Drosophila melanogaster: one gene and its partners. The protein of the gene in region 1 interacts with the protein of each later gene in a pairwise test. Each region holds a gene or a part of one and is shown in the gene's direction. Other genes may lie near its edges.

Region 1 (8,686 bases):
ATATTTATACGATTTAACGGCAAGCCTCATTAGTATTATATGAATAGTTATATAAAGTAGAATTATAGATAACGATCTGTAAAATAAATGAAGTTATTATATATGCATTAAGTAATTAAATAAACACAAAAATATATTTACGTGTTTTCAAATCAACATTTGTTGGCTTGTAGTTCGTTTGTTGGTTATCGATTTGAGAATGTTATCCTAACATAACTTTATATTCTTGTTGTTCTGCATTCATTTCTTCTGTCTCTAGTGGAATTCACAGGAACTAGAAAGATACCAATTAAATTGAAATAAAACCCATATCAACACTTCCGTGCATTTAGATTTCCAATTGCGTTGGCTGGCTTTTTGGGCAGAGCAGAGATCTGGTGCTACAATTTTTGTCATTTGTGACTGGCGATTGAGTTCCGCTCCCCAGGATGCCAGGGCACTTTGGCACTGTGGTCAACACAATCAGGATGCAGTCATCGCCAGTTGGCACTCCATTCCTCACCCACTCGCCTTTCCTTCTCTCTCTCTCTCTCTCTTTCTCACTTCCTGCTTCACTGTCTGGATTTCTCTGAAATTCCCACACACACACACATACAGAGCTGCTCCAGCTGACATAACTCCAAATGCACTTGCTGACAGTCATTGAAAACACAAACTGTAGATTATGCCACTGCCTGGATTCTCTAGTTCGGACAGCCTCATCCTTGTTTTCCTCCAGGCATCCTGGCAACCTGGCAACCTGGCAACACGGCAACCTGGCATCCCAGCACTTGTTATAAATCACAAAACAAGTAAAAGAAAAAAAAAAAATCGAAAATTATCTAACGAAATGCTACTCAAGAGCGAGAGCGAGAGCATTGGAAGAAAAAACCCAAAGACCAAAATATATACTACGTTGCTTGGGCCAGGTGAGCCTGGAGTCTTCTCCTCTTGGCTTAAATGTGCAGCATTGCAGAAAATATATCGGCCAAAATGCTGAGGCTGAGCTGCGGCCCATCCTCCATTTTGGCCCATTCACCTTTTTGCCGGTCAGTTTGGCAGTTGGTAATGCGGTCAGTATGTGTTTGGTAGTATGTGTGTGTGCATCTCAGTTTGGCCCGCTCTTTTATTCTGTTTATAAACGTAACAATGACCGCATTCTTGTTTTTTCTACTGAGCACAGCACCTCCACCGCCGCCCACTTTTGCACTTTCTCATTTCACCAAAAAGTGCAGCAGCAAAGTTAAAGTTTTCCTCAACTGTCTCTCTCTCTCTCTCTCTCTCCCTCTCCGTTTCTTCCTTTTTCTATTGACAACTGCGGCTTTGGTGCCAAAAAGAAATGGAGGAAATGGGCATCCTTGCACAGATACACGCCCCCATCTCCGCCTTGCAACACCCGCCCACCCACACACACACACACACAGTCACAAATGAGCAGCAGGAGGAAAATGCCGCGAGCTCTTTACGCGGCCACAGTGACTGCGAAAAAAACATTCCACTGTGCCAAGCAAACAGCCACTGGCAATTGGCTGAAGCGCTGAGCGAGGAGCCGGTCTGAACCAAAACTGAGCCCAGTTAAGAGGCGTTCTGAAATGGTTTGGTTTGGTTTCGTCTGGGCTGAGGTTTGGGTTTGGGTTTGGGCCTGGGCTTGAGGTCGCCTCGCCGCATTAAAACAAATAAAATCAAATAAACGTTTATTGCACTGAAATGTTTACGAGGCCACAACAAAAACAACAACGTCATTTCGAGGGGGGGGGAGTAACAACAAAATGACAGCCATAGTAGTGAAAATCTGGCAATTTAATCAGCCCGGCAGCGAAATGATGGACAAATGGCCACAGCAACTTTGTTTGGTTAACACTGGGCATGAATTTTTGGCCAGGAGTGGCGCCAAAAGTGGCCCACTGTCATAAGCGTCAACCACGTGTTTTCATTTTTTCATTGCCCTTCTTTTCTTTTGACTGACCTGCTTTTTAAGTGTAATTTTTTTGGTCGTACATCCCTTGCTTCGCTGTAAATTGGCCAATCTTTTTCCAATCTCAGCAACAAATGGATCCTCACAATCACTAAAAGCCCATAGGTTAAGTTCTTTTCCTTAGAATTTCGAGAATAGTGTGACCAACTCAGCAGACCGCTGACATTCACAATATATCGATAGTTGAATGGAATTTTTTTCTGGTAATTGTGGTAACCCTTAAGCACTAATCGCAGGAGCTATCTTGACAATTTACAGCCAAATATCTTTTTTAAATACAATAAATGAATATATTTGACAATGTTCTACTGAAGCTACAAATTTCCAGTGCTGTACGTTGCATAATTTATTATGAAAAAAAAAAGTTATACTTATTATGCCAGCCGAACATAATAAGAATTTTCGAGACTAGAGTTCCCATCTGCAAAGACATGACAAAGCACTGGCAACCCTTTTAGCACGTGTCAAAAACGCAAAGAAAAATACGATGACTTTTCAGTCTAAAAGTCACATATCTGATTTGGCGTGAGGACCTCAGTTGATTCACATCTCGGAGCGGATATTACTTAATATTATATTAATTAATATATTCATTTGCAAAGCACAGAGTTTTCAAGGTGAGCATATTAAGAAAATTCTTTTCCACGCACTTTACCCGTACAAGTTAATAGGTTTTCTTACCAAAACAATGGATTTCAAGAAGCTGAAGAAAATGGAGGAGGCGGTGCGCATCGGCGGCAAGGGATCTATGCGCCGCAAGCACAAGAGAAATCCATCCCCGGCTGTGGTTGAGAAACGAGTGCAGGCCGAATTGGCCATGTTACCGTTGAGGAATATTGGAGAAATTCAAGAGGTGACCATCGAGTTCACCAATTCCAGGGAGGTTGTGTTAACCATGCCAAAGGTTCAGGGCACCCCTCCCAATTCTTTCTTCGTGGTTAGTGGCGATCTCGTGCGCAAATCGTCAACAGCTGGCCCATCGAAAGTGGCCAAGGCAGCCAATGCGCCCAAGGCACCCATGCCACCTAAGCCACCCAAGCCGGAAGCTTTTTCCGACAAAAAGCCAGAATCAGGGGAGTCCATTAAGGTGGCCAAGAAGCCCAAGAAGCCGCGCAATCGTGTTCGTCCTCGCAACAAGAAGGTTCAAATGATGCTTTCCAAAAACAAAGAGGAAGCAGCAATGGCTGGCGGGGATTCGGAGCCGAAGCTTAGCAATGGTAAATCAATTTTGATCTCCTCTGAAGATGGTAGCGATCCGAATAATGAGAAGGTGCCATCGGATGAGTCTGATGTGGATCGGACCGTCGTCTGCGCCAAAGATTCGCTGGGAAGTTTCGGCGATGATTCCGACGGCAAGGAGGACGATGACAGTAAGGAGTCGATTTACCTATCTTCCTACTCCGATTACTATGATTCCGCGGATGAGCAGCTCAATCCGAAGACTTATCGCGCTCAGGTGTCAGAGGACGAAGATTAGACATATTCATTTGTTGCTACATTTGTACCAATTTTCTAAATAAATCGCATACTATATACGTACATACTGCACTTCATATATATTTTCTCTAAATTTTTTGGAAATACTTATAAAACATGTTTAATCATTGTAAAATTTTCATTAAATGTTTATCTCACAAGAACGTGATTTCTTACGCTGCGTTAAGTTTTTGCCAGTCATTATTTCGTGTTCTCTTTCGTGTTCTCTTTCGCATGGAATACCTTAGAGTTGTCAAAATTATTTGGTGAAATGGCCAGAGAATAATTAATCGGCCACAAATAATTGGAATAGCTATCATCACAATTTACAACCAAATACATATCTATTATAAATAAAAAAATGAATATATTTCAAAAAAAATATATTTATGCTACCAGAGCTGTAAATTGTATAATTTATTATGAAAAAAAGCACTAATACTTATTATGCCAGCCGAACATAATAAGAATTTTAGAGTCTAGAGTTCCCATTTGCAAGGACATGACAAAGCCCTGGCAACCCTTTTTAAAAAAAAAGACGATGACTTTGCAGTCTACAAGTCACATTTCTGATTTGGCGTGAGGACTTCAGTTGATTCACATCTCGGAGCGGATATTACTTAATATTATATAAATTAAAATATAAATTTGCAAAGCACAGAATTTTCAAGGTGAGCATTTCAAGAGAATTCTTTTCCACGCACTTTACCCATACAAGTTAATAGGTTTTCTTAACAAAACAATGGATTTCAACAAGCGACAGAACATGGAGGAGGTGGTGCGCATCGGAGGCAAAGGATCTATGCGCCGCAAGCATAAGAGAATCCCATCAGTAGCTGCGGTCGATGAGAAGCGCGTGCAGGCGACATTGGCCAAGATACCGTTAAAGAATATCAGCGGAATCCATGAGTTGACCATCGAGTTCACCGATTCCAGTGAGGTTGTGGTAGTCATGCCCAAGGTTCAGGGCATCTCTGCCAATGGTTTGTTAGTTGTTAATGGCGATTTCGTGCGCAAATCGTCAACAGCTGGCCCATCGAAAATGGCCAAAGCAGCCAAGGCACCCAAGGCACCCAAGGCACCCAAGGCACCCAAGACACCCATGGCACCCATGGCACCCATGGCACCCATGGCACCCATGACACCCAAGCCGGAAGCTTTTTCCGTCAAAAAGCCAGAATCAGAGGAAACCATTAAGGTGGTGGCCAAGAAGCCCAAGAAGCTGCGCAATCGTGTTCGTCCTCGCAACAAGAAGGTCCAAATGATGCTCTCTAAAAACAATGAGGAAGCAGCCATGGCTGGCGGGGATTCGGAGCCGAAGCTTAGCAATGGTAAATCAATTTTGATCTCCTCTGAAGATGGTAGCGATCCGGATAATGAGAAGGTGCCATCGGATGAGTCTGATGTGGATCGGACCGTCGTCTGCGACAAAGATTCGCTGGGAAGTTTCGGCGATGATTCCGACGGCAAGGAGGACGATGACAGTAAGGAGTCGATTTACCTATCTTTCTACTCCGATGGCTATGATTCCTAGGCGGAGCAGCTCAATCCGAAGACTTAACGCGCTCAGGTCTCCGAGGACGAAGATTAGACATATTCATATGTTGCTAGATTTGTACCAATTTGCTAAATAAATCGCATACTATTAACGTACATATACCTCGCATACCTTACATGTTTTTTCTCTAGAATTTCTTAGAGTTAGTCAATATTATTTGGGGAAATGGCCAACGAATGATTAATTTGCTAAAATCGTCTTGCATTGTTATAAGCCGCAAAACAAGGCACAAAAACCGAAAATCCTTCTAAAATTAAGTGATGTTTATTAACATAATTCCTGTTCACATTTAGTTAAAGATTGGAAAAGTTAATAAACTATTGAGTCGCTTAAAGATCCATTTGATCTCTTGAATGCTTTTTCGTGCCGCATTTCTTGAACGCATTAAACAAGAAATCCGAGCAAAATTAATTTAGTAAACGTTTAAGAGGAAATGCCACGCCCCTATTTACGTTCCACGGTGGCGGAGGTGGAAAGGGCGGCAAAAACTAATCTGCGCCTCGAAAAATGTACGAAATTAATCTGCACATAAATTAAGCATTAAAATTTAATATATTTGTTTATGGAGCCTCAAAGTGCGATGGTGTTGGTAGGGTGGAGCTGGCGGAGCACACGAGTGGGCGTACCGGATGTGCTGTATATGTGGAACATGAAATGTGTGTATATGTATAAGTGTGTAGTGTATGGTGTATGGTGTATGGTGAATGGTGTATGGTGTGTGTTCTTAGTGGTAATAAATAAATAGCAAAAAGGTAATAAAACAGATAGCGAAAAAGGAAAAAACGGAAAAACATCCCGGGGGGATGTGGAATCTGCCAACTGGTTGCCCATTATCGTATTAGCACATGCCACCAGTGATTATTATGAGGTGTCCTCCCTCTGCTCCAGGTCCTGCCACAGCTCCTTTTCCTGCTCCTGCTCCTGCTCTTGCTCTCCCCCGTATCCTTTGTCTATGCATGCGTGTATAATTAATTTTGCACCCCTGTTTGTATCCACATCCCCCATGATCAGCACCCAAGCTCTTGTTCTCGTCCCAGCTTTTGCTTTTGCGTTTGCTATTCCCCCTTTTGCTTTCGAGGCAACAATGGATGGCCTTCATCCCAACTGGGAGCCAGCACTCTGGCAAAATTGGTAGCGAGTTTCCCCAATGGAATCGGGGCCAAATCGGGCGGACTTATGGTCTGTCGACAGACACCAACGAAAACCAACGATATCGCTCTTCCGAACGGGGATGGGGTGTTGCACTTTAATTTCCCACAAGATTCCCTACAATGCATACGCATTCCAATTCTTAAAAGCCAAATTGGCTGTGGCTAACACTGATTAATCCGCACATTGTTCGACAGCCAAATATGGGCCTCAAAGAACCAAAAAGGTGAAATTACATGTGGCAAATCTGCCTATTGTTTTCGTATTTCCCGTCGCTTTTGGCACGTGGAAAATTTTACAAATTTTAAGCAGATATAAACATACCCATGGAATGTTGTATGATATTTGCCTATATATTTATATAGAATAGAATTGAATCATTTGAACCAAAATGAAACATTTCGCATAGGAGTTCCTCGTTTTTGTTGCGTTTTTAAAAGCACATATACTCGTAGACATGCCAGAATAATATAAATATAAAAAAGTAGAGACCCATTGAAGATGATAAAAGCTTAAAATTGTCAAGGCGATGCTTCTGAGGCATTTTTATTTGATATTTTTATGGTATATAAAATTTCTGTTGGTCTGAACTGAAGCTTCCAAGAGCTTAATGTTGGATTTCAAAAAGTATCAAAAGTATCCAAAAGTCTAAGCTGATGCCATTCCACCAAGTGGCTTACTTTACCTTGGAATGTAATGTGAGTGCTTTTGAAGAAAAAAAAAAAAAAAGCAATGGAAAGACGTTCAAATGGTATTTGGATTATGTCGCTCGCCTTTTGCCTCTTCGTCCATGATGAACTCTGGAAATTTCTGGAAATAGTGGCGTTTATGAAAGTTGTCATTCCGATTTGATGACTATTGTCGAACATTATCTACAATAATTCATAAAAGAATGCCGTATCCAGTTGATGCGGCGAATGGTTGATGGATGAAGATGAATGGGCCATAAGAACATCTCATTAGGCTGAGTGAAAAATAGACCTATCCGCAACACCTACTTGTATCGATCCCAGAGTGCTGTGGGTGGGTCTGCCCTGTGCTATATTGTCGCCACTTTTGTTTGGACTCTAATGAAATACGCATTATTTGGCAACTGTCTGGCAGGCAGCGTGAATTTAATATGTGGAAACATCGCTTCTGTTCCCGCTTCTCTACTTCCTGATGGCTCCTTGGTCGTGGTCCTCGCCTGTCATCCGCAAACGATGCCATTCATTTTAAGTCACATGTGTCGCCCGGGCATATGGCCACATCCCGGGCAAACCGATTCGAGGACATTGTATTGCGGTCGACTATCCCTGTCCCTAACACACGGCTTAAGTGTTTATTAATATTGAATCGTGCGAACCCGGACATGTGTTGGACCCCTAAATTGACTTTGCCGTAACTGATAAGGTCCCATTCGCCAAAAGACGCAGCCTGTAGTTATTGTAACAAGCCATTGGTGATTGTTATCGAGCTTGGCGAAGACAACAGCTGGTCACACTACACGCACGTATCGCAGCAAGGACTCAAAAGAAGTCCTTGCACACAGCACAGGATTCCATTCCGTTCGATTCGTTTCGATTCGATTCGATTCTGGTCGAAGAACAATTACGAACTGAGAACTGCGAACTGCGATGCTCTTGAAACGGCAATTATGAACTGCACCCTCCGCCGCGCTTCTCACAATTCCAAAAGAGGTCATGGGGTCAGCAGCTGGCGAGAAGTTCGCAATGGAAGGAGGGGAAAAGTTCGCCCTCAGTGCTCTTCAATTATTGTAATCTATTTTAAGAGGCTCTTATATCAATATTTTCGATTCGTTTTCGGAAAGAGTTCTTAGCAGAGTTATTCTGCATCGCTCGTTCCCTTTCCAAGTCCCCTATTCCATGCCAAATTCACATTCCTTGTCCTTGCCAAAAATTCTTTGCTTAACTTTCGCCACCAGTGTCTGCGAAACGAGGTAACCTGGCCCAAAAATACTATACTGCAGCATGCTTTCAGGCCTTGGCAACTCTCTGTTGGGCACACACACACACACACACACACACACACACTCATACACATACACTCGAATGCAAGCACACGTTCTCGTTCCGCTGGGTAATGTCTTTATATTTGAAATTGCTTTGCTATTAAAACAAAATAAACGACGCGACGCGCAACTTATAAATTTTGTTTGAAAATCAAGTGAAATAAATGCAGTGGCAGAAGTAAGGCGCTGAAGGGGTGAGTTTTCTCCTTTTTTCTGTTTTTTTTTTTTATTTGGGAAAATCTGTACCGAAGTGGAAAAACAGAATCGAGAAACCAAGAAAAGGAATGAGGCGAAAACAAAAGCGCAAGACAAACACGAGATATATATCCTGAAAAAAGGGTGAGGGGTTGGGGCAATAAATTTAACTTTTAGCCGGCTATGTGTGAGTGAGTAGACACACCAACACACACACACACACACACACACTCACTCACACGAAAAACACATGACCATAAATAGCAGTGGAAGAAAAACCTTTGCCATTTCCCATCGCAAAGAGGTCCTTTTCGGCGGTTGCGACTTTTAATTTTATTGCCAA
Region 2 (5,777 bases), on another chromosome or scaffold:
CACTTCGTAAACAATTTCGAGGAATTTAAGGGTCTTCTCGAGGGCTCTGTGGAACAAGGGACCAACGATCACATTGTATTTGTTTCCAACAGCACCCAGTTCGTTGAGGAAGTGCACCTTTAAATTGGATCAAGTCAAGACATACATATATGATTTTCAGAAATGGAATGGAATTTGTATGTACTTACAGAGATGTGTTCGTGAATCTTCTTAAGCTCCTCCATCTGCAAGTTCGTCTCAATGGTCAGCTGATAGATACGGAAGTGGTCGTACCGGGCGGCCATGCGACCAGGTGCGGACTTGGCCGCCACCATGGCCACAAGGGTTATCAGAAGGATTGGTAGTTTCATTTCGGAGGTTTGGTGTCTTGAACGTTACAGCGTTCACTGTGAGGAGTCCCTTCACAGTCGTGCTTTTTATTAGCTCCAGGAGTGGCCACTCAAACGGAACGTTATCTAATGGCGATAGGGGATCAGTCATCTGGCGTGTGTCTCCTTTGATCTAATCGCCCATCCAACCTACCACAAAGTAGCTCTGGACTTTGTCTTTCGAACCAGACGTGTCTAAAGATGGTTGATACACAAGAAAATTTAATTAAAGTAATTATAAAAAAGATTTAAGATATTTCAACTTGGCCAAATAAACTTATCCCGAAACATGACCTAATTTTTTATGTTGTATTGTTTTCGAAAGACCAGAGTATATGCAAATAACCTAATTAAAATTTAACTAATATTATCAATTTCTTAAGTTCATGTAAAAACTTATATCGAATATCCAAGTTACCTTTACAAATACTAGTATAAATGACAATAAACTGGTATCAAATTTTTCTCGGTGAACTTCCTCTAACAAAGTCAGCGGAGTCAAATTTGTAAGTGAAATCATGCACCGAGTGTGGAGGCACTCGCCTTATCAGGCATGTTCAATTAATTAAATACTCCTCCAGGCGTCTGCACGTGAAGGAGCACTTCGAGAAGCGTTTGTAGAATGCACTGGCAAACTGAAGATCGTCATCTTCAAGTGACAGACTGGGTGGGGAAGAAAAGCCGTCAAACATTCGATTGTGAAACCATTCATTCGTTTAATTTTACTATTTAAGCAGTGCAGTTATTGCTAGTCACTGCAGAAATTAATCATGCCACTGAGCCTAATCTGTGATGTTCCTTTCCTTCCCTTTGAGTAAGCCACTTAAAATGTTGCGGTGTTATCAATTTGTTTTTAATGTTTTTCTTTTATGTAAAATTATAACTGCATTATCAAAAACTAAAATATTACGTTAGTAGAAGATTGCAAGCAAAGGTGACCCAAACAGTGAACTACACCTTTGAAAAAATATTTAACACTTGCTTTGAATAATTACGAAAAAGAACTAGTTTCTTGGGATATTATTGCTTTTTAAGCTACTCCCATAATTGTTTATAGTTCGATTATTTCAGCAAGCCTTGATAGTCAAATTAAATTATAAATTTTTAGTCATAGTGCTTTACTATAGAGGTGAAAGATTAAAAATGTATTTTGAAACTGTCATTTTTTTGAAAGTAACGTAATTATGAAATAGAGTAGCCACAAAGTTTGAATTTGTCATACTTCATACGCATACGTTCACACTGACAGAATATATCGCTTGGATTTAAGAAAAATCGTGCTAAGCGACAGTCACACTCCCCTCCGCCATATTTCTTTTCTTCGTTTCCGGTAGGTGTGTGTACTCCGCATTTTTCGACTTCAATTTAACTTTTGCCGAAATATCAGTGAATTAGCGCCTTAAATTATGTAAAATATCATAGTTAAGAGTTAGATCTACGGGGGTAGCGAATTATTGATTTTCCAATTGAACTTGAAAAATCAATACCAACTGACCCCCGCTGAGACACATCGCTGAGCCTTTGAACCGGCACCAGATGTTTTCCCTTAGCATAATTGATACTATTTGCAAAGCAATTACCTAACCTCGTGTTCTCCACTTGCTTCCCCACAGATTAAAATGCCCGAACTGACCGAAATCAAGAGCGAGGCTGCGCCCTCCACCTCCGCTGAGGCGAAACCCGAGGACGTCCGCGTTGAGGATGATGGCAGTGATAGCGACTCCGATGGTGGCATGCCTGGTCTGGAGGAGGCTGTAGCGGCCACCACACAGCTGGGTGGAGGTGCCACCGGTCTGCCCATCGACCTCGTCTCAAAGGCCAAGCAATCGCGCGGCGAGAAAAAGGCCAGGAAGATCATGCTGAAGCTGGGACTTAAGCAGATCCAGGGCGTCAACCGGGTGACGATCAGGAAGTCGAAGAACATCCTGTTCGTGATCAACAACCCAGATGTGTACAAGAACCCCCACAGCGACACCTACATCGTGTTCGGTGAGGCCAAGATCGAGGATCTGTCGCAACAGGCCCAGGTGGCTGCCGCCGAGAAGTTCAAGGCCCCGGAGGCTGCTGGCGCTGCAGACAGCGTGGGCGCCACCACATCGGTGGCCCCCATTGCCGAGGAAGACGAGGAGGATGTCGATGACACCGGCGTGGATGAGAAGGATATCGAGCTGGTCATCACGCAGGCCAACACGACGAGGGCCAAGGCGATCAAGGCTCTGAAGAACAACAACAATGACATCGTCAACGCCATCATGGAGCTTACTATGCTTTAGAGCGGGCTTCAGCGTTAGCTGCACTCCTGATTTTGTTGTTTACCCGCCTTTCGATAATACTGACCCAAATGTTGTGCATGCCCCTCAAGGGGCAGCATGTTACACCAGTCGAACATTTAATTATATTTCAAAAGATTGCGTCTTAATAAAAATGGATTTATTTCAAATCAAATACGATTGCGTGTATTTTTCGACTAGTTTCGGTTTTCCACTAGGTGGTGTGGGTGTCTTTACTTGCCTTGCTAACCGAATTCGATTAAGTATACATTGAGGTTCCAGGTTAAGTACTTTGAGATTAGGGACTGGCACATAAGGGATTCTATTCTGTATTAGCTATTAATGTTCAGGTTGCAGCCAGCTTGAGGACGCGGGCCTGACTACGCGAGGAGAGGCGAATATCCGCTGGACTCTGCATCCAGGGTTCGCCATCCGCCTGCATTGGCACGGTCTCCTTGACTTGTAGCTAAAAAAAAGATTGTTGGTTAACAAATATTCGGTTCCATCACTGCAGGGCTTACCCTTATTTGCTTGGCTTGGCCAATTCGCACTGGTTTGCTTATATTGCACTGCAGTTGGGCAATGTGGAAAGAGGAAACAATGCCGAACACCTCCATCATACCATCGGAGATGGAGTTTACAATGCGCACTTCACCATTGGCGTTGCTTAGCTCGCAGAGCTTGCAGCCAGCTCCCCATGAGTCGATATTTAGGAACACCAGCGCCTGCAGCTCAGGCAGTTGCACTGGCTTGTTGTCCAGATACAAGGTCAGCTTTTCCTCGATGTGTTCGCAGCCAGGTTGCATCACCTGTTGCGTTCCGAAGGTAAAGTACAGCAGCTGACGAGATGGATACATTAGTTAACGTTAAGTAAGCACACTAGATTGTAGCCTACCTTATTGAATATTCGACTGCTGAGCAGATAGAATCGAGATTCGCGCGTCTTGTGGAAGTTGTAAGTGATGTACGCATCCACACCTACACTGAAATAGTTGTACACATGAATCGTCTTCGTGGGATGCCTCTGAATAGGCAGTCGATAGTGCAGTTTCTCTATTTGCAGGTCAAAGCGGTCGAGATTCACGGAACGTGCTCGCCGTATGCTCCTAAGGATCTTCACCGGGTCGAGAACAGAGGGCGGCTCTGCTCCCCAGCCCAGAACTCGCGACAAATCGTTGCCGGTGCCCAGCGGCATGATGGCCACCGAGGGCTGGGGCTTGATATTCAGCGTATAGATTGTATTGAGCACCCAACCGATGGTGCCATCGCCGCCCGCCACCAGTATGCGACACGGGCGAGGACTGGCTTTGGCGGCCCACTGCAGGGCGTCCTGCGGACCCCTCGAGCCCAGTTCCATCACCTGCAGCGGATGCAGGTAACCGCGGAGCAGGGACAACACATTGGCACCCGTACTGCTGCCCGACTTGGTGTTGGCGATCACAATAAGCGGCTCCCAGTTCTCAATGTCTGGCGGCGTAATGCTGGCCAAGTGGAGCCGCATCGAGTCTCTGGTTCGGGCGGCCACAAAGCTGTATGGCGGGAAGATCATGTCCTTGAACTCGCCCAAGTCGCAGGCTTCCATGGAGTCAGCGCGAGTGTAGCAATCGTTATGATAGCACCGCTGACACCATGCACATCGCCATCCGTATAATCCTGGATCGGTGCTGACATGGTGATCCACCTCCTCGTTGCAGTCGGCACAATGCACTCCCATAGGCAGATTGCCATGCACCCACAAGTGCCGCACGGAGGACTCGTTGCGCAACCACTTGTCCTTGCACCGGTACTCCCTGTCCGCCCTCCGCTGGCAAGGGGGCGTGGCATGGGTGCACAGGCCGCAGCAGTCGCAAAAGAGTCCTGCGGAGGGGGTTAGCAGGATCTCGCACACATTGCAGAAGCAGGCCTAGAATGAAGGGCATGTATCCTATGGTATCTCTTTCGCGGCAAGTGAATCCGCTCACCTGTTCCAACACTTTTATTGATTTCCAGCTGTGACGTGTTTTGAAGGTGCTCACAAAGTCCTCGGAAAGCAGGCTGCGGCAGAAGGCAAAGAGGATACTGAGGGCCAGCAGGGATCCTATCAGCGCCTCCACGCTCAGCTCAATAGTGCCTATGTCCATGGTCCACGCAGATAAGGCCCAATTACGCTAAATATCCTGGTAATTTGGCATATTCACAAATCGTTTGTTTTTGCCCCATCGACCAGTGTGACCGCTTCAAAGACAACAAAAAACACCTTCGACCTCAATTAAAAACACTTTTCAAGAATAAGCACTAATGCGTAATTTCGATAGGCGGAGTGACACTAGTATTTAGATTCAGGACGTTTCCAACACTGCTTGTCAACTCAACCTAACAAATCAGCTGTGAGTTTGGCGTGTGGAAAAAGTTTGATTGGGAACAAATCGGACGTCTTTAACAAAAATCTAGCCAACATGAAGGTTATCTACAACACCCTGTTCAAGCGCACCTCCACCTACGCCGTGGCCATCATCGCGTCGGCCTTTTTCTTCGAGCGCGCTCTCGATGTCACGTCGGTTGCGATTTTCGAGGGCATCAACAAAGGCGTAAGTATAATCCTGTTATGTAAGCAAAGTTTCCTGGCCAAATCTCAAGATTTCCCCGCTTTGCAGAAACTCTGGAAGGACATCAAGGGCAAATACGAATAAATTAACATGATTTGTTGTAATTAGCAATAATAATCAACGTTTATTCTAAACGAAACGATAACTAAGTGTGGTTTCTTTTGGTTATTTTGATTTGGGTGCTTCCAGTGCGTCTTCCGACACCTCCCAGGGCTTCTCATGCCTCTTCTCATCCCAGGGCTGCTCGTTGGGCAGGCGAGAGGGTTCCTTGAAGGACACCCCATTATCCTGAATGGTTTGAAGCAGCTTCTGCAGCTTGCTACCCGGTACCGCCTCCACGTTGCAGGTCATTTCCGTGATCCCAGACTGCAGGCAGCGCTGTGCGAGCACTCTGCCGAGATTTACAAACGCAGATGTGTCGTTGGTCTTGTACAACTGCTGTTTAATGGCCCATTCCGAGGTGCTGGCACTCAGGATGGTTCCATTCTCAAAGTGCTTGACATCGCCGCTGACATAGCGGCCGCTGGTGTTGATTTCCAAAGTGTGCCAGTAGG
Region 3 (8,740 bases), on another chromosome or scaffold:
AAACATTTGGAGGCCTGTTGCACATGATAGTTTTGTCCGGCAGGCGTAACTCGTTTAGCCAGCTTTGGCGTCGGTTCCGGCCGTAGAGACCATTTCCTGGCCTGAATTGCAGCGGCAGCAACAGCAGTTGGCCGATGCAGTTGCAGGATGGCTCGCCCCGGCCAATTGGATTATGCGTGGTGCGGGCTAAACTAGTTAAAAACATATTTGCACAGCTCCCAGGACTTGCCGACATGGACATGGGCCATCTTGTCGTCCGGGGAGCGGGCTGAAAGTCATGTTTTGCTACTGCTGCGTGTGCGGTTCCGTGCGCCAAAGTTTTAATTAAACGGGTTTATGTTTTCGCCGCCACACACAAAAAGTTAACACACGAGGCGTGATAAGTCCCATGGGAAATTGGGGGACAACAGGGACTAATTGCGTTTGTGGTACGCCTTTCATCGACTCCTCTGCTACGCGTAAATTAGATTATTGGATTATTAGGGCAAAAATAACTTCAAAACTTATCAATTTGGGCTTACATCACCTCTAACTAAGGTGAAAACTAAGCCAAAGCTATCTAAAGGTTTAGGGAAAGATAAGGTATCTTAGATACTCTTCGGCGCATTTGCAATAGAAAGAACCCTTACCCATCTGCCATCTGCCTCTGCTTTCGTGCTAGTGACTTGCTTATTTCGTAGGGGACACTCACCAACATTGCCCTCCGCTTGAGCAAGATCTCCATGCGTGGCGAGCAGAAGGATCAGCAGCAGGACTCCGAATTGCAGTAGCTTGGCCGGACGACTCAGCGCGTCCAGGCTGCAGCAGAGCAGGCCGCCGCCACCCGCCCCGCAGCCACGCACCTCGCGCCGGCGGGCGCCTTCGCTGATCAGATGACGACCGCGGGCGGGCAGCGTGGGCGGCACCTTGCGCTGGTGGTGCAGTAGCTCGTGCTGGCGCGGACTTCGGTGGTGATGCACTGACTCCTGCGGCGTCGAAGGGTGCTGCTGCGGATCCTGCTCCGGATCCTGGTCCTCCTGCTGCTGCTGCTGGTCGAATGGAGGTCGCTGCTTAGACCAGAACTGCTGGCATTCTCCCGTCGCCGACTCCTGGTGCCCGGCTGTTCCGCGTGCTCTCTGGTGCTTTGGCTCTTCAGTTGTGGTGCATGGATGTTGCTGCCGTTGTTGTACATTGCGTGCCATGATAATCGGCACACCTGCAAGAGGGGAAACCAATTAATTAGCACACAAAAGAATGGCGACCCGAGGACACAATTACTCGCAATTACTTATTATCTTATATTAATATGTTAATTTATACTATACCCCATTCAACTATTTTGAGCCCCCCGAAGCCAGATTTCATTTGGATAAACAATGCTTCCATTTTCAATTAGTTTTTTTAGGGGGGAGAAATGTCGCACTCACCAACCCATTCCCATCGGCTCATAAATCCCTACACAAATTTATGCAGGAATTTGCACTAATGACCTGCTGCTGCTCCGCAAAGTGGGTGGTGCTCCTGAGTACAGCCCAAGTGATTCGGGTGCTCCTTATTGTTGTTACCGGAAATTAGCAATGTATATTCGGTGGCGCTGCCTCGGCTGCCTCTTCGGGGAAATTGCATTTTATTGTGCCAGGGACAACTTTTCGCTTTTCCGGCATTTCCATATTTCATATTTTCACACAATGCGCACAAAGGGAAGCCTTGGAGGAGCTGGGGGCTGGGGGCTGGCTGGAATCTTTGCTGGTTGGGCACATTTGTCGCGCTGCAGTTTCCGGTTTTTTAGTTGCTCCTTCTTTGTGCGGGCTTGGTGTGGCCTCCAGTGATCCCTGCTCCGGCTGCCGAATGCTTAGCGAGTATTTCTTGCTCTTTATATGGTAATAAATGTCAGACTTCGCTTAGCCCTTGGCAGTCGGCAGGGGAAATTGATTTTCCTTGCCGCTCCAGCGACTCCAAATCGTGATGGGCAGGTGGTTGGGGTCTGGAAATGCTGTTGGTTCTGGGTTCTGGATATCGTCTCGGTCATTTGGCGATAAGCGCGTCAGCCTCGCTCAAGGCTGACATATTTTGAAAGAGGATGACGGCAGAGTTTACTTCATTCTGAAGGCACAGCCATACCGCCTGCCAAACGGGATTCCAGCTCATCAACAGCAGCACAAAGATGTGGCATTCCAGATTGGCCCATCGACAAAATAAACGTCAAATTATCAAGCGAACAAGGTACCAAGTGAAATGACCTTGTCAACGCTAAAAACAAATTGGGTTTCTACTTTATTGGGAGTGCAAACAGTATGTCCACAAATTTGCTACGGCATCAGGATGTATAAAAACTTGGTGCTATTCGAAACTAATTTGCAGACTCACTATAAACTCACTAAAACAAACTCCTTTAATAAATAGTTTTCCTAGCAAAGACTGCTGATTCACTTACAACAATAGAATTAAGCCAAATAAGCATCAATCAGCAATGAAATTCATTAGCGGGAAGAGGAGACTCTCGAGCAGGCACAATATGAATGCCTTGGCCAAGATCTCAATTACGGAAACATCTTTGGTTATAACATGTCTACGACATGGTAATATGATTTCAATCATTTCTCGAAACTTGCATGATTAATGCGTTACAGATTTTTGCCCCCAGAAAGCGGCTTCTGTGGGCCTCGTTGCCTTGAAGGAGAGTGAAGACCTCGTCCTGGTGGGCCTCCGAATTGGGTTCATTTTTCATGCACAGGCCGTGGCAGCAGAAACTAAACTTCGAGGCTAAGACTAAGCCCCAATAAGTTGGATGGGCCCAGATGACACCGCAGCATATGGGGCGGATAATTAATCATGGGACGAACGTGCCAGGACGCCCAAAAACTTTTCACCCTTCTCCGGCTCTCCGGGTCTCCGAGTTCCAAGTCCGCGCAGAACTTAACTTAACCGAGCAACATTGAATCGAATCGACCGAGATGTTAAGATGCGAGGACTCATGGCTGGGCAAAGGGAATATCTGATTAGTTGGCCTCTCGAATTTAATTATGGTGACAGGACAGACTCTGCGGCGGCAGCCGGATGCATCCTCGGTCTCCTGCCCTCCACATCCTCCTAGTCCTCCTCCTGCTGCTTCATTCGCCTCTCCTGAATAATTTGTGCAACTCAATTAGGCGTTGACCCCACGATAAAGTTTAATAATTGCAGGTGGTGGACGCCCTTCTTTCGCTCGAACTTTAATTAAAAGAACCGAGCAATTAAAAACGCATCATCAGACAGAGCGCAGCGGCTTGCAGAAAAAATGCAATACATGCTCCCGATTACCACATACCTGTTATGTAGGAAATAGGAAAGGTCAGAATTCATGAAAATTATGCTAAATGTTATGTTAACTCCATTGGGGATTTGATCCATACGTGCTCATATTCTTATTGTACGGTTGTCTCGAATTGTGATGTAATTTCCGTAACACGAAGAGCGCCCTAATAGGGCGTGGCACTTTTTTAATGCACTTAGCAAGTGTTTTTTCGCCACACGCAGAACGCAAAACAGGATCACACAGCCCCGCCCTGAACCGCCTGATCTGGGAAATTCGGGAGCCGGAAAACCGCAAGGAAAACCGCACGTGTAACCGCGCTTGCTCCACCGCGTCGTGTTTGTGGGGCTGCTCCGCTTTGGAGGCAGACTGCGGTGCGACCACGACAGCAATTAACACGGAGGAACCAGCTTCAGATTCAGGTCTTTGGCATTTTCCGGGCATCCGAGTTTTACGACTTTGCATATTCGAATATTACCCAAATAACCGCTGAACTTTTCATTTCTCCACCACTTTTAAACTGGCTTTGTCAGGTGAAAATTTTCAAGCACGTCACTGCAGTGGATTGATTTGCAATCATCAATTTCGATAGAATTTGCGAGGCGCTGCAGCAAAACTTTTATAACCGCGAAATTAAGTGCACAGTTCGAAGGCAGCTGACATTCTCGTTTGAAAAATACCAACTTTCTTCAGAGCAGCGCTGCTAACGCCTATAATCAGTTCACGATTGCACTGGGACCTATCGATATCGATAGACTTAGGCGTGCTCTGCATGTTCGAATGGCCGAGTGGCCATTTTAAAAACTTATAATCTTTCCGAAAGCAACACTTGATATTGTTTATTTCGCTATTTAGGTGCCATTAGCATAAAAAATTTCCAGTTTTCATTATGAAAAAACTTTTCGATAAGTATACCAAATTTCGCAACAGCACTTATCGAAGAGAGCAACACCAGCTGTCAAGCCACTGGAAGTTTCACCTCTGATATTTCCTGTCAAGTCTTTCCCGCAAGAGGTCACACCACGTGCGCTGCCAATTTGGAAATTTTTTTGGAGAAGTTGTCCTCGCAAATCTGTGATCGCAAATCCCTCAGTTGCTGTTTATTCCTCAAGATGGGTAAGAAGCAGAAAATGAAGAAGGCTGCCCAGATGGCGACCGCTGCCGAGAAATTGAAGACCGCTGCCGAGAAATCGAAGACCGCTGCCGACAACGTGGTGGCCAAAGAAAAGCCTGCCGAAGAAGCCTCTCCCTCACCAAGTGGCAGTGGAAAAAAAGGGAAGCCCAAGGCAACGCAAAAACCAAACGTCGCAAAGGCACTTCAGAAGGAGATCTCCAGTTCGGAAGACGCCTTGGATGTCAAGAATAAACCTCCGGCAGGCTTTAGTGGCGCAAAGGGGAAGCCCCACATCATGGGTCAAATGGACCCGGCCTACCGCAACAAGATCAAGAAGCTGATGAGCCTGGCCAAACAGCTGCCGCCCAATGTGTTCAGTCTGCCGAACTCGCAGAAGGAGGAGGGCGCCTCCGCCGCGAAATCCTGCGTAGTTGAGGATGATCAGAGCACGGACTCCGATGACGCCCCGGATCTCGTGGAAGCGGATCCCAAGGAGACCCAACCGGACGAGCAGGGTCAACTCGGTACGGTGGCCGTGCGAACACGTGAGGTATCAAAGCAGTCTCGCGGCGAGCGGAAGGCACGCCGGATCCTCATGAAGCTGGACCTGAAGCCCATGGAGAACGTGGCCCGAGTGACCATGAAGAAGGGCAAGAACATCCTCTTGTACATCGATCAGCCGGACGTCTACAGAGTGGCGCACTCGTCGACGTACATCTTCTTTGGGGAGATCTGCGTGGAGGACACTAGCACCACGTCCGTCGCCTCCCAGGCAGCTGTCAAGGCGGCCGAGCGATTCCGTGGAACCTCGCCTGCCGGGCGGCAAGGTAACGAGGATGGAAAAGCCCCTGGCGAGGAGTCCCCACACGACGACGACGACGACGAGAACGATGGCGAGGACGCGGATGCCATGGGCCTACATGCGAAGGACATCGAACTGGTACAGATGCAGGCCGCGTGCTCGCGCAAAAAGGCGATCCAGGCGCTGCTGAAGAACGACAACGATGTGGTCAATGCCATCATGGCCCTGACTGTGGGTTAAGTCGCTCTGAGTGGCTCCTTTGTATTCAAAGTCATGAAATAAAGAGAATTTCAATAACATCCATGTTCGCCATAGAAATTAATGGTAATTAAATGATTACAATCAAATCGTAAACTTTCATGTTGTTTTTATTTACTATACTTTCATGTAATCCAGACAATCCTTTCGGACTTCACTTCTCCTGGTGGATGGCTTGTTCTACAAGAATGACAATCTCCGGTGCCAATGTAGCTCGTACTATATTAAATGCCGATCATTTCCTGGTTTTTGAAAATGTTTTCGGTCCCAGCAGAAGAATCCCACTGAAGAACCCCTTTGTACAGCGAAATTGCCATCTTATTTCAATTTTCTAATGAATTGACATTTCCACCATTTCCATCTTGGCACAGTGAAAGCATTTTCCGAAGGGCGAAGAACGCATATGCGAACCCGAACCATTTTCATTATACTCGTATTTGCTCTTCCATCAGCGCTAGACTTTGGCAATTTTCCTTTCAGGTACCGTCATTCTTGGACATTTTCTCTGTGGCGGAAACTTAATCGCTTCTTTCTTTGTGCCGCTGACGCTGCACTCTTGTTTACTCTGCACTTAGTTTTTAGCCATTTGGCGAAGTCCCCCGGCACTCGACTTTGCATTTTTTGCTGGCGAATTTTTGACGACGCCGTGATTGCGTTTCAGCTCTTTCAGGGGATTTCAGGGGTACTCCCAGGTGAGACAGGTGACGTCGCTGCTGGTGACGTGGCTACGCAAGTCCTGCTCCGCGGACATTTGACTCAATTAAATGGCTCGACTACGTTCAACGTCCCTTTTCTGGCCCCAAAAGCCACTTAATGACTAGCTCCGGCTCTAACTGAACTTTTTTTAATTTTCAGCTGTCGTCAGCAGCCGTAAAAAAGGCTTTAGTTTTGCATTGTGGGCGCTCAACAGTCCGTGCGGCTGAGCACGTGCCCGCTTTTTCGCCGGAAAAGTGGAAATGGAAACTTTGTAGGTGGGACGCATTCACCTTCTTCGTTCTGTACACTCATATAGTGCGAGTAGAAAGTGCCCGCGCGTGTCGGCTTCGAATGGAAAGTTCTTGGGGCTCCATTCCCTTTCCGTGGAACTTTCTCCGCCGGAAATTGATTAAGTTGGCTCCCTTTAATCAGCGGAATTGAAGATGCTGCCGAAATACAAATCAGTTGACAGTCGGCAGCCGTACTGCGCAATTTACTGCCCAATCCAAATGGTACTTTGAAGTACTTTCCGCGTCGGCAATTTCCACTCCTTGCTGACCAAATCCCGGAGAAAGCGGCAACAACAGCGAAAGTTGTTAAATGCCTAATGACATCATTCGGTCTAGCACTTTCTCGAAATGAACTACTTGTAAAACGGAACGAAACATTGTTTAATATTATAATATTAGGTAGCCATATATTGCTTGGGATAACGGCAGTCATTGTTCCAATTAAATCGTCCGGTTCTGAGCCATTGTATCCACTTGGTCTTAAGAATTTAACATGTTTCTTTTGTGTAGGCTCCAAGGCATTCTTTATCTGAATGCCACCTTGTGTTCCTGTTTTACAAGAATTTTCTTTGACATGAAATGCTCTTGCTTTTCACTGGCTTTTGCCTGCCGCTTATAAACTTTCCCTTTTGGTTTTGCGGCCAACGTTTGGCCTGCTGCCCGTTCGCTTGAGAAGTTTTCCTTTTCGTGGTTATTCATTCGCTTTCAACTTGATTTGGGTTTCACATTTCGGTGCGCATTTCTTGACCAAAATCTGCAGGATTTGTCTTCGCCGTCGTCCTTCCGCCTGTCCGCATCCGTCTGGCCAAGTTGGCCTGCCAAGGGACTCGGGCTTACTTGGGCGCCTCTGGCGCAGTTCATCACTTTGGGCGAGCCGCATATACTGCTGAGCTAATCATGACTCCTCAGCTTCTCTATATTCATCTCCATTTCACTGGAATGCTCTGAGTCCCGCCCAGACCAGGCCCCCCGATCTGGCTTGATGTGTTGGCAAGCTTTTGCCATTTGATTTGACGCCACTGTTTGCTTTCGGATGGGCAGAGTGGCTGCCAGGTGTGTGCTTGCCAGCACACTTTAGCGCTCTTCGGGCTCCTTGGGGTTCTATTATTGAGAATATCGAGCACCTGGGCCCCGAAAGCCAGCGGCGCAAAGCCAACGCGTGGGAGCGACTTCCTGGCAGGTGATTTAAAGCTCGACAGGCTCACATTTCCCGGCCTTTGTGTAATTGATGCACGGCAGCAGCTAAAGGATAACAAATCGCTTTCATCCTGACTCCGCTTCCGGGCGAGCACAATGTGTACAATCACAATCCGCCGTCTGCAAATACACAATCCATAATTCCTTTTTTGGCCAGCCCAGCGTGAAACGGATTTCCGGCGCCTCTTCGGCGAAAAAGGACCTCTCCGTCCGAAAAGCAATTAGATAAACTTGCCAGCTGGATTCGGCAATTGAAAGTGGCCGAAAGTGGAAAATTGCGGACCAGCTGGGAGTGGCAGGACAATTATGAGAGCGAAGGTTCGGATAATTCAGCAATTTGGTCGGGTTAGGGGAATCAGCGTGGAATTATTCTCCTAAGTGCCATGAATTATGACTTAGTTAGCTAAAGCGAATAAATTATTGTTACGGATTTCGGAGTAAAGCGTCCTTTTCTCTCTGAGCCAAAAACTCAAAACGTTTATACATCAGATTAGTTAAATGATAGGAAATGGAATTCATTTCCAGTTCTAGTGTATCTGACTGTATCAACTGTTCAATTGCTATCCACAAGAGAGATCCTTCCATATTCCCTGGACTAATCTCACTTAAATGGAAATTGTGTTTGTTTCGTATATATCTCACATTCATCTTTATTATTTAAGGTGCTTTTTGTTATTTGCTATTTGTTGCGACCATTACAACCCGTTGTTTTGCTCTGTTTCAGGTGGCAGAGCATCAGATAAGATATTTCGGGGCTTTATTCTGCATGTAGGAAAATTGCCTTTCCCCGTTCCAAATTGTTTTACATTTCAACCCAGAAAGTTTTGGCATTTCGCAGTTTACCTCTTGGCCCTTTGAGCATGTTAGCAATTATAAGCTGCCTAGGGAATATTCAAGGAATTTGTAGGAGCAAAGGGCAGGGTCCGCCACCAACACTGAGTTACACGATCCCTAGAACCCTGGACCTCTGAAACTCGTTATGGAAAGCTTCTTATGTTGCAGGACGGACGCCCGTTTTCTCCCCTGAAAACGCTCGCAGTTAATAAGCATTTCCTTTTGCCGGATTTTATGTGCCATATTTTATTCAGATTGCGCTTCATAAATGCAGCTGG
Region 4 (8,716 bases), on another chromosome or scaffold:
TGCTTCCGAAGTGCCACCTTGACTGAGTCGTCCGTTCACGTTGGTCCGACTCTGTGTTGTTAGTTTGTCAAGAGGTACACAACGCACGGAATCCGTCTCGAGGCGGTTGGTCACTTGCGTTTGGTTGGAAGTTAAGATACGGCGTATATTCTCTGGCAGGTCTTTGGCGCTCCCATTGATGGTCACTTGGGCAGAGGAAGCCCCGGTAACTGGCTCTTTCGGTACGGTTTCCTTGTCGTTATTATTGTTCTGCCCATTATTGTATTCATGCGGTGTTGTGACAACCGAGGAATGCAAATCTGCATCGACAGAAGCAAGGGGAGCTGAAATAGGAGCAGGAGGAGTTTTAACTGGGGTCACCGTAGTTGAAGAAGGCCATTTCGAGGAAGCAGAAACTGTAGCTGGGGTTGGAGTTGTCGCATTTCTCTGCATGGCTCGAAGCTCCAAGCTACAAACGAGCTGCATGATTTTCGACTTGCCCTCTGCGGCTAAATCCGGCGGCAGGGACTTCATGGTCGGCGAAATGCTGTCAAAGAAGAGATCCATTACATGTCGTGGCTCCGGTGGCTTAATCGGTGACACTGTCACCGATGGCGGCGCCTGGGCCATAGACTCGTTATGTGCGACCGACTCCCGTTCCAAAGTTCGCAAGCGTGTAACAATATCAAACGACGAGCATATCATGTCCCTGGCCATGTCCATTTGGGAGCGTTCTTCCTGTCGCTTGCCCATTGAGTCGCGAAGGGCGCGTATTATGCGACGAACCTCCATTGAGCGTCGGGACCGCTTCGCCAGCGGTTCCGCTGTGCTGCCATCGGATCTAAGTAGCCATAATGAGTGTGGTTATTAGAAACGCTTAATGAAGGGATTTCGAATTCTAAACTCACCGAACGCTCATATCGTTTTCGCTCTCCTTGTCCATTCCAGACTCCTGCCTTTCCGCATCAACGGTGGAAGTGGGACTAACTGATGGTGCATTGGCGGCAGCGGCGGCATTGGCCCTTTGCCGCTCCTTATTTTCGACGTGCTTACGCGAAGCGTCGTGTTGCCGCAGGTAAAATACCTTGATCGGCAGCCGGCTATCACAAACACGGCAGTGACAGTGATTCTCGTCATTGGCATCAGGATCCAGCCAGTCGTACTTCGCTTGCAGCTCTGCCATAGCCGCTTTCTGTCTAGCCTCGGCGCTGGCCAAAGCCGAAGCTGTGGCCACAACAGTGGATATTTCACCTGAGTTTTTGTTCGATGTTTTCAAAGGGTTGCCACCATTGCGCTTTCGATCAATGCGGAGGCGTATGTGTCGGGAAGTCCTCTGGTGCTTGGAGGCCCACTTGGATGAGGGCAGGTAGAGAGACACTTCGCACAGCTTGCACCAAGCATAGTTTCCACGCTGCTCGTTCTTTTTGTAGGAGAGCCACGGGAAGCGGCCCTTCCACACCATAACCTTGCCCTTCATGGTTGCCGGAATGGGCTTGACAAAAAGCTTATTGTCCGCTCGAGCAGTCTTTCTTGCCTGCACGGTGCCCAAGTCGAAGTTGCTTTGGGAATCTTCTTCTGCGTCCTCCTCTTCTTCTCCATATTCCTCGTCCTGTTCCTGTGATTCTTCATCATCCTGCGCATTATGTTTAGTTTGCGTGTTTGTGCCCTGGTGCAGTTTCGCTTGCCGCATTTTGAACTGCTTTACCAGCTTTACATGCCGGGCACTCAACTCATGCCGCGCCTTTGCCGCTTCGTTGTGAAAGCGCACGCGGCAGAATTTGCAAATCTGAGTCTTTCGGTCCTTGGAGTAGCAAAGCCACGGGTAAAAACGTACCCCAGCGCGAACCGTGGCCTTTCTTGGCTCGCTAGAGGACTTATGAGCAAAACTATACGAAATTATTATTATTAAAGTAAAAATTAAAAATATTTTAAGCAACATACCCTTTTCCGAGTTTTTGGATCTCGGACCAATTGTCATCGTCATTATCTTCGCTGTCATCGGTCTGCGATGACTGGGCTTGATCACTTGCCGCCGCTTCCTCTTCATCCATGTTATCGCCGCCTCTGCCGTCAGCCGAACCAACTTCGATGCCTGCCTTGGCGCTGGCCAAAGCCAAGGTATGCTTCTCGGATTTTTCGTGATTCTTGCGCTTGATCTCTGAGTTTCCATACATGAATCGCTTGCGACAGACGCTGCAGTACCCAATGCTGGGGTCTTCGGGATCAGCAATCAACCAAGGATGCATGTCGGCGAACACGGCCCAAATGCCGCGAATATCTGAAGAGCTGAGGTAAAAAAGTGAAAGCAGTTAAAGAACAGGTGCTATTTACGTTCTGTAGGAGTGTCAACTCACCCCTTTTCAGCGGGTGTCGATAGCATGTGACAATGAGCTCTGGTTTTACAGTGCCGTAGGAAGCTGGTAATCGCCATTGTGCAGTTGCAGAGCGTACATCGGCATTGCTGTGGATTGGTGTCCGGAATCAGTGCACACCACTTGCCAGGGTCGTCGCCTGAGTCCACATCGCCGTTCATCATAACCACAGGGGTGTCCTGAGCATCCTCCGGCCCAACTTCTGGTTCAGATTCCTTCTCTCGCTCGGCCTCATCCCCGCCGCTATTGGTCACGCTGTTGCTCTTGCTCCTCTTTCGCTTCCGACTCCGCTTATCGGAATCTAGGTTGCGCAGTGCCTCCATGTGACCTTTGGTGGTTTCGTGGCGCTTGCGCAAATAGACAAACTCCACGTTCATTCGCACGCTGCAGATGCGACATGTCCCGATGGTCCCTGTGGGCATGGAACGTTCAAGCCAAGGATGCCAACGGAGCCAACGCAGCCAGTTGAAGTTGTTAAATGCCTCGGTCTCGGAGATTCGTTTTTGCTTCATGGCGGCCACATAGCTCTTGGTGCCGAATTCGTGCTTGATTTCGTTGTCGCTGATTCTACGGATAATTGGGAGTTAATAAGTGTTCGCAAACTTTCGGTGATCTCAATATGATTTCGGTATTTCGTTTTTTAAAGGTGCAAATCTTACTAACATTACGAGTAGAGCTACCCTCATTGAAAGCAGGGAGTGTAATATATGTAAAATCTATTCTGAACCGCGACCAAGCCTATCATACACCAGTTTCTTTGTGTCAAACAATTGCTACACGTTGGAAAATTAATGCGGACTCGGAGCAGTGCTCCCTTCATTAAGTTGGCAGTTTTTTTCACACTACAGTGGGCTTTCTGGATTTCGGTACAAACCCTTTACAAAGTGAAAGGCATTTGAAGAGTTGAGCTTTTACTTTATACGGCGGATTAATTAACTTGATTTCTCCGAATTTTAGATTTCTGTACTCTTTTTTGTAATCTTTAAAACTGTGACACTTACGCTCCTCGAGTTTCCTCCTCACTTTTCTTGAATGCCAGATAGTTGCACTCGCGTTCCTGGTGGGAGAGCGACACGTTGTGCTGTTGGATGTGTCTAGAGCGGTTGTTCACGTTAATGGATATGTTGCAGTAAAGGCAGAACGCTAAGGTGCCATCGGAGTCCTCGTGTAGGATCCAGGGCCAACGCTTCATCCAGAGGAGCCAGCGCTGTGCGCGGGGCATCTTGCGGCGCATGCCTCCGTCAACGCCACCGCCATTGCTGCTTTCGTCATCCTCGTCGTCGTCATCCTGGCTGTCTCCCGGATCATGGATTTCAATCCTCTCCAGCAGGCCCATGGGATCGTGGTACGAATGGGAGCTCTCCGCATCGCTGGAGGGTTCAGTTTTAGTGGACATGGCATCGGGTTCACGTTCCTGGTCTTCCAGGAGGGGATCCTCGCTGGCCTGTTTGTCGTCTGGGTTATTTAGAGCGGACTGTAGCTCGGCCACCAATGGAGCATGTTCGTCATCCATGATGTCCTCAATACACGGGTCATCCCGCATCGGGTGCTTGTCCTCCTCCACCACCATGGCCACATCCCCATCGTCATCATCCACCACGATGACCATGGAGGTCTCCACTTCCTCGATGTGATCCGGATCCACCAGAGCACCACCCTCTACGTCCATAATTTTCAGCTCGTGCGTTGCCGACGCTAAAGTTTCTGAATTTGCAGACGCCATTTTGAGGTCTGGGTTGCATTGAGCATCTAGGTTTTTCGCCTGCATGCTCGAATCCCGATCCATCACGAGATACTGGTTATCCAGGCACTTTGCTCTAATATTTGTTAGCTTTTGGGAGATCACAGTATACGGTTATAAACTAAAAAAATAAAAATAATCGCAAGCGAAAACTCAGAATCGCTGTCAAGGCGATGGCCAATGTGACCGTACTGTTGCATTAAACCGGCGGGCTAAGGACCATATACTAAGGAAGTTCAAAAAATACATAAAATGCAACTGAGGGACTGGACTGGTCACTTTATTGAGAACGGTCTTAAAACGTACTGTTCATAGTATAACTGCAATTATTTATTTAATAACTACATGAACATTATGCTTAGAAAGCATATAAAGAAATTACATGCATTAGCATATGATTCATATATCGTTGAATATTTAAAATAAAGTGTGTAGAAACAAACAACCGGTGTGGGTGACAACTCTTACAGCATGTGCAAAACGGGTTATGCGGTATTTCTATGCATGTGCGCACGGTCATACCTCACTGGATTTTGTTTATATTTTGGAAAAGACTACCCAAATGTCAAACCTCCAGTTAACTCAGGAAAAACTGTGAGTATACCAAAGTAAGAGACCAGGGTCTTATGTTCACTGACTATATTCGCCGCCCAGAGATGCCCTACGCTCCGAATACAGGCCACGCCGGCCGTGCGCCCTGCTGAAATATCCTCGACCCAAGACAAAGCCGGAGTACCAGGCGATATATCCGTGGTTGCTCCCGGATGAGACGGATCCGCACTTCGTGTTCTGCGCGGTGTGCGAGTGCAGGCTCAGCTGCAAGAGATCTGATCTGGGAAAGCACGAGGGTAGCATTAAGCACTCGGAAAATGCACAAAGAAAATCATTGCCAGCCAAGGCAAACAATTCGAGCTTCAATGGATCCAGCTCCGGTGCGATGAAGTGGGAGGATACCGAGGACGAGGAGGGTCTACTACAATACGGAACAGATCCCCAAGACGACGAGACAGAAGATGAGGAGGAGGGAGAACTTGACGAAACAGAGGGCGACTGCGAGGACGATGAGAAGCGGACTCAAGAACTGGAAGCACAAAATGATCTCGAAACGGAGCCCGTCATTAAGCAGCAGCGCCGCACTTCGGAGACCGACTCACAGAATTCTGGCATGCTGGATTATCTGCCACTACACGTGACCATCAACGAGGGGCCTCAAAGTCTTCCGACCACTGTCTCCGCCTATCCCACATCCTCAGCAACAGCAACAGTAGCTCCGCCATGCAGGATCACCATTAAAAAAGTTCCAGTGCACAGTACTCCACTCAGTGGGATGTGCCAAGCTCAGGAGATCAATTCCAAGGCCACCATAACGCCTATACACACGACGCCCTCCTATGCTGCCCGCCCGCTGCAATCTTATCAACTGCAACCATTGTCACCTATAACGCCACCGCGCGACTCATTGGAGCTGTTCTTCGACAGCATATGTGCCACCGTCAAGAACTTGCCGCCCAAACTGGCCACCGAGGGTAAGATCCGGGTAATGCAGCTCATTGGGGAGCTCGAGTTGCGTGCTCTTTGCGAACAGGAGGCGCTCTCTGAGGTCGCCGGACTTCCGGATCTCGCGGGAAACTCCAGGTCTGGAGCAGCTGAAGCCTCAGGCAGTGGTCAGCAGAATGCGACAGTGGCTTCTACCACCAAATAAATTCACCTGGACTTTGGAATCGGTTCCAAACCGTGCTCAATACGGCAATTAGAATATATGCTAGTGCTTTCATTTTTTAATTTTGTTAACTGATTTTCATTAATAAAGTTATTTATTAGTTGTTGTAGTGTGGCGTGCATTTATTCTTTAAATCTATCTGATGGTGTTTTTGTTCTATGAAATGGCTTCATTACATTTCATCCGTTTAGAAATTTAAGTGCCCAATAAATGGGCTCATTAAGGTATTAGGTTCGCTTTAATATTTCACTAACTGCATTTCAAAAAGTGTTTTCCTGACCTTGGTTTGCCAGCAAAGTATAAATTGTGAATTTTCTCAGAGAATGATATCACGGAAGAGCTGTAATCAATGGAAACCACTTCTTGTGTGTGGGTAACAATTGTGATTTACTTATTGTGAATGATACAAAGCGAATTCTCTGAAGGGTAAATATTACGCATGTACAATACCATGTGATAAAAAGTTTATCGCATGATAGTTTAATGTATGTTCTGTAGGTAAAGATAGTAAAAATCACTCCATCAGGCGAATTTATCAACTGTAACGAACAAACAACATGTAATATCAGATTGAATCAATCAGAATCAATCAATTGAAAAAATGCCAGTAATTATAAATATAAGTTAATAAATCTTTATTTGTAAAATTGTAAAAAATGATTGAAAACAAGAGTTATCAGTAAGGCACTTAGTTAATTGATATTGGGGAAATATCCCCCTTAAAAAGCTTGCTTGCCCTCTAACATGGCTTTCCCGCAGTAGAACGGGAACTGGACTCCCTGGAGCAGAATGTCCGATATGCCCTGCGAAAGTAAGAAAACAAATCGGTTAGCAATGTTTTTCCAGGCAATGGGTGTGGGTGGGTCTACATATCGGGGCCAGCTATCGCGGTTTCCCATAAGCTCCGGTTGTGGGTCTGATAAGTTCCCCAAATGACTAATGGGTTAAACATCTTGACGGCGCGATAAGGAAAGTGCCTCATGCAACCAGCAGGTGAAGCAGGTAAATTGACTCACCCCGCCATATAACTTCAAATGCTGCTCCCCAAAATAGAAAAAAAACCCACTTACCGTCAGGGCGGGAATGCAGGAGGCAAATGCGTAGACCCAGATGTAGAAAAAGGCGCAGAAGAATGCCACGAAGAAGGAGACGAACCAGAAGACCAGCAGCCAGAAGACGAACCACAGTGGATTTGGCATCGTGATGAGTGGTGTTGTTTGTTCAGAGCGATTTCAGCTGTGCGATAAGATAAATACAAGGGATCTTATTAGTGGAAAGATCCATAAAAAACTGAAGCTTATCAGTCGTCTTCTTAATAGAGCATATCTCATTAAAAACTTCAAGACTTGGAGCTTGCTCGAGCATAAAACTAATTTCTGCATTTCGTATATTTTTAATAAGCAAAACACATGTCATTAATTTGATATGCGCCTTAAAAAAGTGACCTCATAATATTTTTAATGAGCTAACAAATTAAATCTTGCATTTCGATAGAACACGATTCTGATAAACCCCACCTAATTAAAAGAGCTTCTAAAACGTCACTTCTATTTCTAAATCATTTTTTCCATCGCTGTATCAACGTTCCCATTTAAGATAGTGAATGTCAAGTTATTCGAGCAAGTAAATCCTTCAGTAAACCCCATTTGTGTTTGCATACCACACTCATTTATAAATAGTTTTTAGTCATATGCAATTTCAAATTATATATTATATAAGTAGACCTTGAGTTAGGCCTTTGAAGATTACTGAAGTTTGAATTTTAGTTAATATCTTCCTTCACTATAAAATGATTAAATATTCGGCTTTCTCCTAAAAATACTTTTTCACTTTTTAGAAAATATTATTAAAATATGCATACACTCAGGTTTTACCACCGAAAAATGCATTTGAATGGCTTTCTTCTGCATTTAGATTTCACTTTTGGGTCGTGACAAACATACTAACGACCGATTTGGCTCGGTTTTGAGACTGATTTTAGAAACACTGACGTCAAAACTGATTGTGACCAAAATAAGGCAAAAATAAGGCAGAGTATGAGGTCGAGGCCTCGACCGCCGATTTCGAGCCGAATTCCACGATCAAGTGGTGATTATAGTACTCTCAAAACAAGTGTCGTCATTATGCAAATCACAATGCTAGCGAGCACTGCACTTGACGGGGTGTGTCGTCTTAAGTCATCGCCCATCTTAAGTCATCATAAAAACAATTGCAGATCGCCCACAAACCGGTTGGCGAAATTAGCACACGGTGAAATTCGGATTAATTAGACCAGCCGAATCTGAAGTATGCGCCAATTAATAGGCGTACGCCAACTATGCGTAAGTATTTTATAAATACTGTATACCACGCACCCACGTATTTAAGATCGAAAACAACTTAATAGCCGAATGCCAGGCAGCCAAAGGAAACAATAACAAACCAAGTAGACGATCGGATCGGAGGTCGACGTCCGGGGGATTCGAGAATGGAATGAAGACTGAGAAGCGCAAACCGGCGCAACAAGTTGCATGCCCACTGCAGGCAGGGTTGTCACCCGTCGCACTGCCGACGCGCACTTTCGAAGGAAAGCTTCGCGAAAAAGCTTTTGGCAGCGAGGGCCGATCTGAGAGTTAAGCAAAGTATTTATTGGGTTACTAAGGTTAGTTAAAAGAGAACTCAATCTTTTTAAACCAAATACATAGATAGTCTTTGTGTAAGTAGTATTTGTGTAGACAGTATTTGTGTAGATATTATTTGTGTGAAAAAAATAAACATTTTTTCGAAACAACAGTCAATAACAGTGAACACAAAAGGTACGGAAAATATTAATACAATTTTATTAAACTAATTTTATTACATTTGTCGTTATCATTCGTTTATACTATGCTTCCATCGAAACAATGTTTAATGAAATTTCTTCTC

What was found.
Region 2: the proteins of betaNACtes4 (region 1) and Nacalpha interact in a two-hybrid assay, tested with the Drosophila melanogaster proteins (one large-scale study listed by BioGRID).
Region 3: the proteins of betaNACtes4 (region 1) and gNacalpha interact in a two-hybrid assay, tested with the Drosophila melanogaster proteins (one large-scale study listed by BioGRID).
Region 4: the proteins of betaNACtes4 (region 1) and Ravus interact in a two-hybrid assay, tested with the Drosophila melanogaster proteins (one large-scale study listed by BioGRID).

The regions. Positions count from the first base shown.
Region 1 is NC_004354.4:14,376,335-14,385,020, forward strand, and holds betaNACtes4 (Nascent-associated complex beta-subunit-like, testis 4), read left to right. Parts: upstream 1-4,016; 5' UTR 4,017-4,101; intron 4,102-4,155; 5' UTR 4,156-4,172; coding exon 4,173-4,964; 3' UTR 4,965-5,082; downstream 5,083-8,686. Other genes in the region: betaNACtes3 (Nascent-associated complex beta-subunit-like, testis 3), read left to right, coding at 2,643-3,431.
Region 2 is NT_033778.4:12,756,726-12,762,502, reverse strand, and holds Nacalpha (nascent polypeptide associated complex protein alpha subunit), read left to right. Parts: upstream 1-1,503; 5' UTR 1,504-1,698; exon of another isoform or gene 1,699-1,702; intron 1,703-1,710; exon of another isoform or gene 1,711-1,776; intron 1,777-1,978; exon of another isoform or gene 1,979-1,981; 5' UTR 1,982-1,987; coding exon 1,988-2,641; 3' UTR 2,642-2,810; downstream 2,811-5,777. Other genes in the region: CG12374 (uncharacterized protein), read right to left, coding at 1-117, 189-350; Dgkepsilon (diacyl glycerol kinase epsilon), read right to left, coding at 2,985-3,104, 3,160-3,477, 3,534-4,541, 4,600-4,758; ox (oxen), read left to right, coding at 5,074-5,205, 5,272-5,307; mRpL18 (mitochondrial ribosomal protein L18), read right to left, coding at 5,389-5,777. UniProt on the Drosophila melanogaster protein: May promote appropriate targeting of ribosome-nascent polypeptide complexes. Required for correct localization of the osk/oskar protein to the posterior pole during embryonic development.
Region 3 is NT_033779.5:1,032,996-1,041,735, forward strand, and holds gNacalpha (germinal nascent polypeptide-associated complex alpha subunit), read left to right. Parts: upstream 1-4,250; 5' UTR 4,251-4,383; coding exon 4,384-5,427; 3' UTR 5,428-5,511; exon of another isoform or gene 5,512-5,538; intron 5,539-5,583; 3' UTR 5,584-5,690; downstream 5,691-8,740. Other genes in the region: IA-2 protein tyrosine phosphatase, read right to left, coding at 692-1,195.
Region 4 is NT_033777.3:13,259,937-13,268,652, reverse strand, and holds Ravus (ravus), read left to right. Parts: upstream 1-4,591; 5' UTR 4,592-4,654; coding exon 4,655-4,686; intron 4,687-4,746; coding exon 4,747-5,794; 3' UTR 5,795-5,920; downstream 5,921-8,716. Other genes in the region: Su(var)3-7 (suppressor of variegation 3-7), read right to left, coding at 1-820, 888-1,865, 1,921-2,265, 2,334-2,918, 3,353-4,137; CG11686 (uncharacterized protein), read right to left, coding at 6,532-6,615, 6,883-7,011.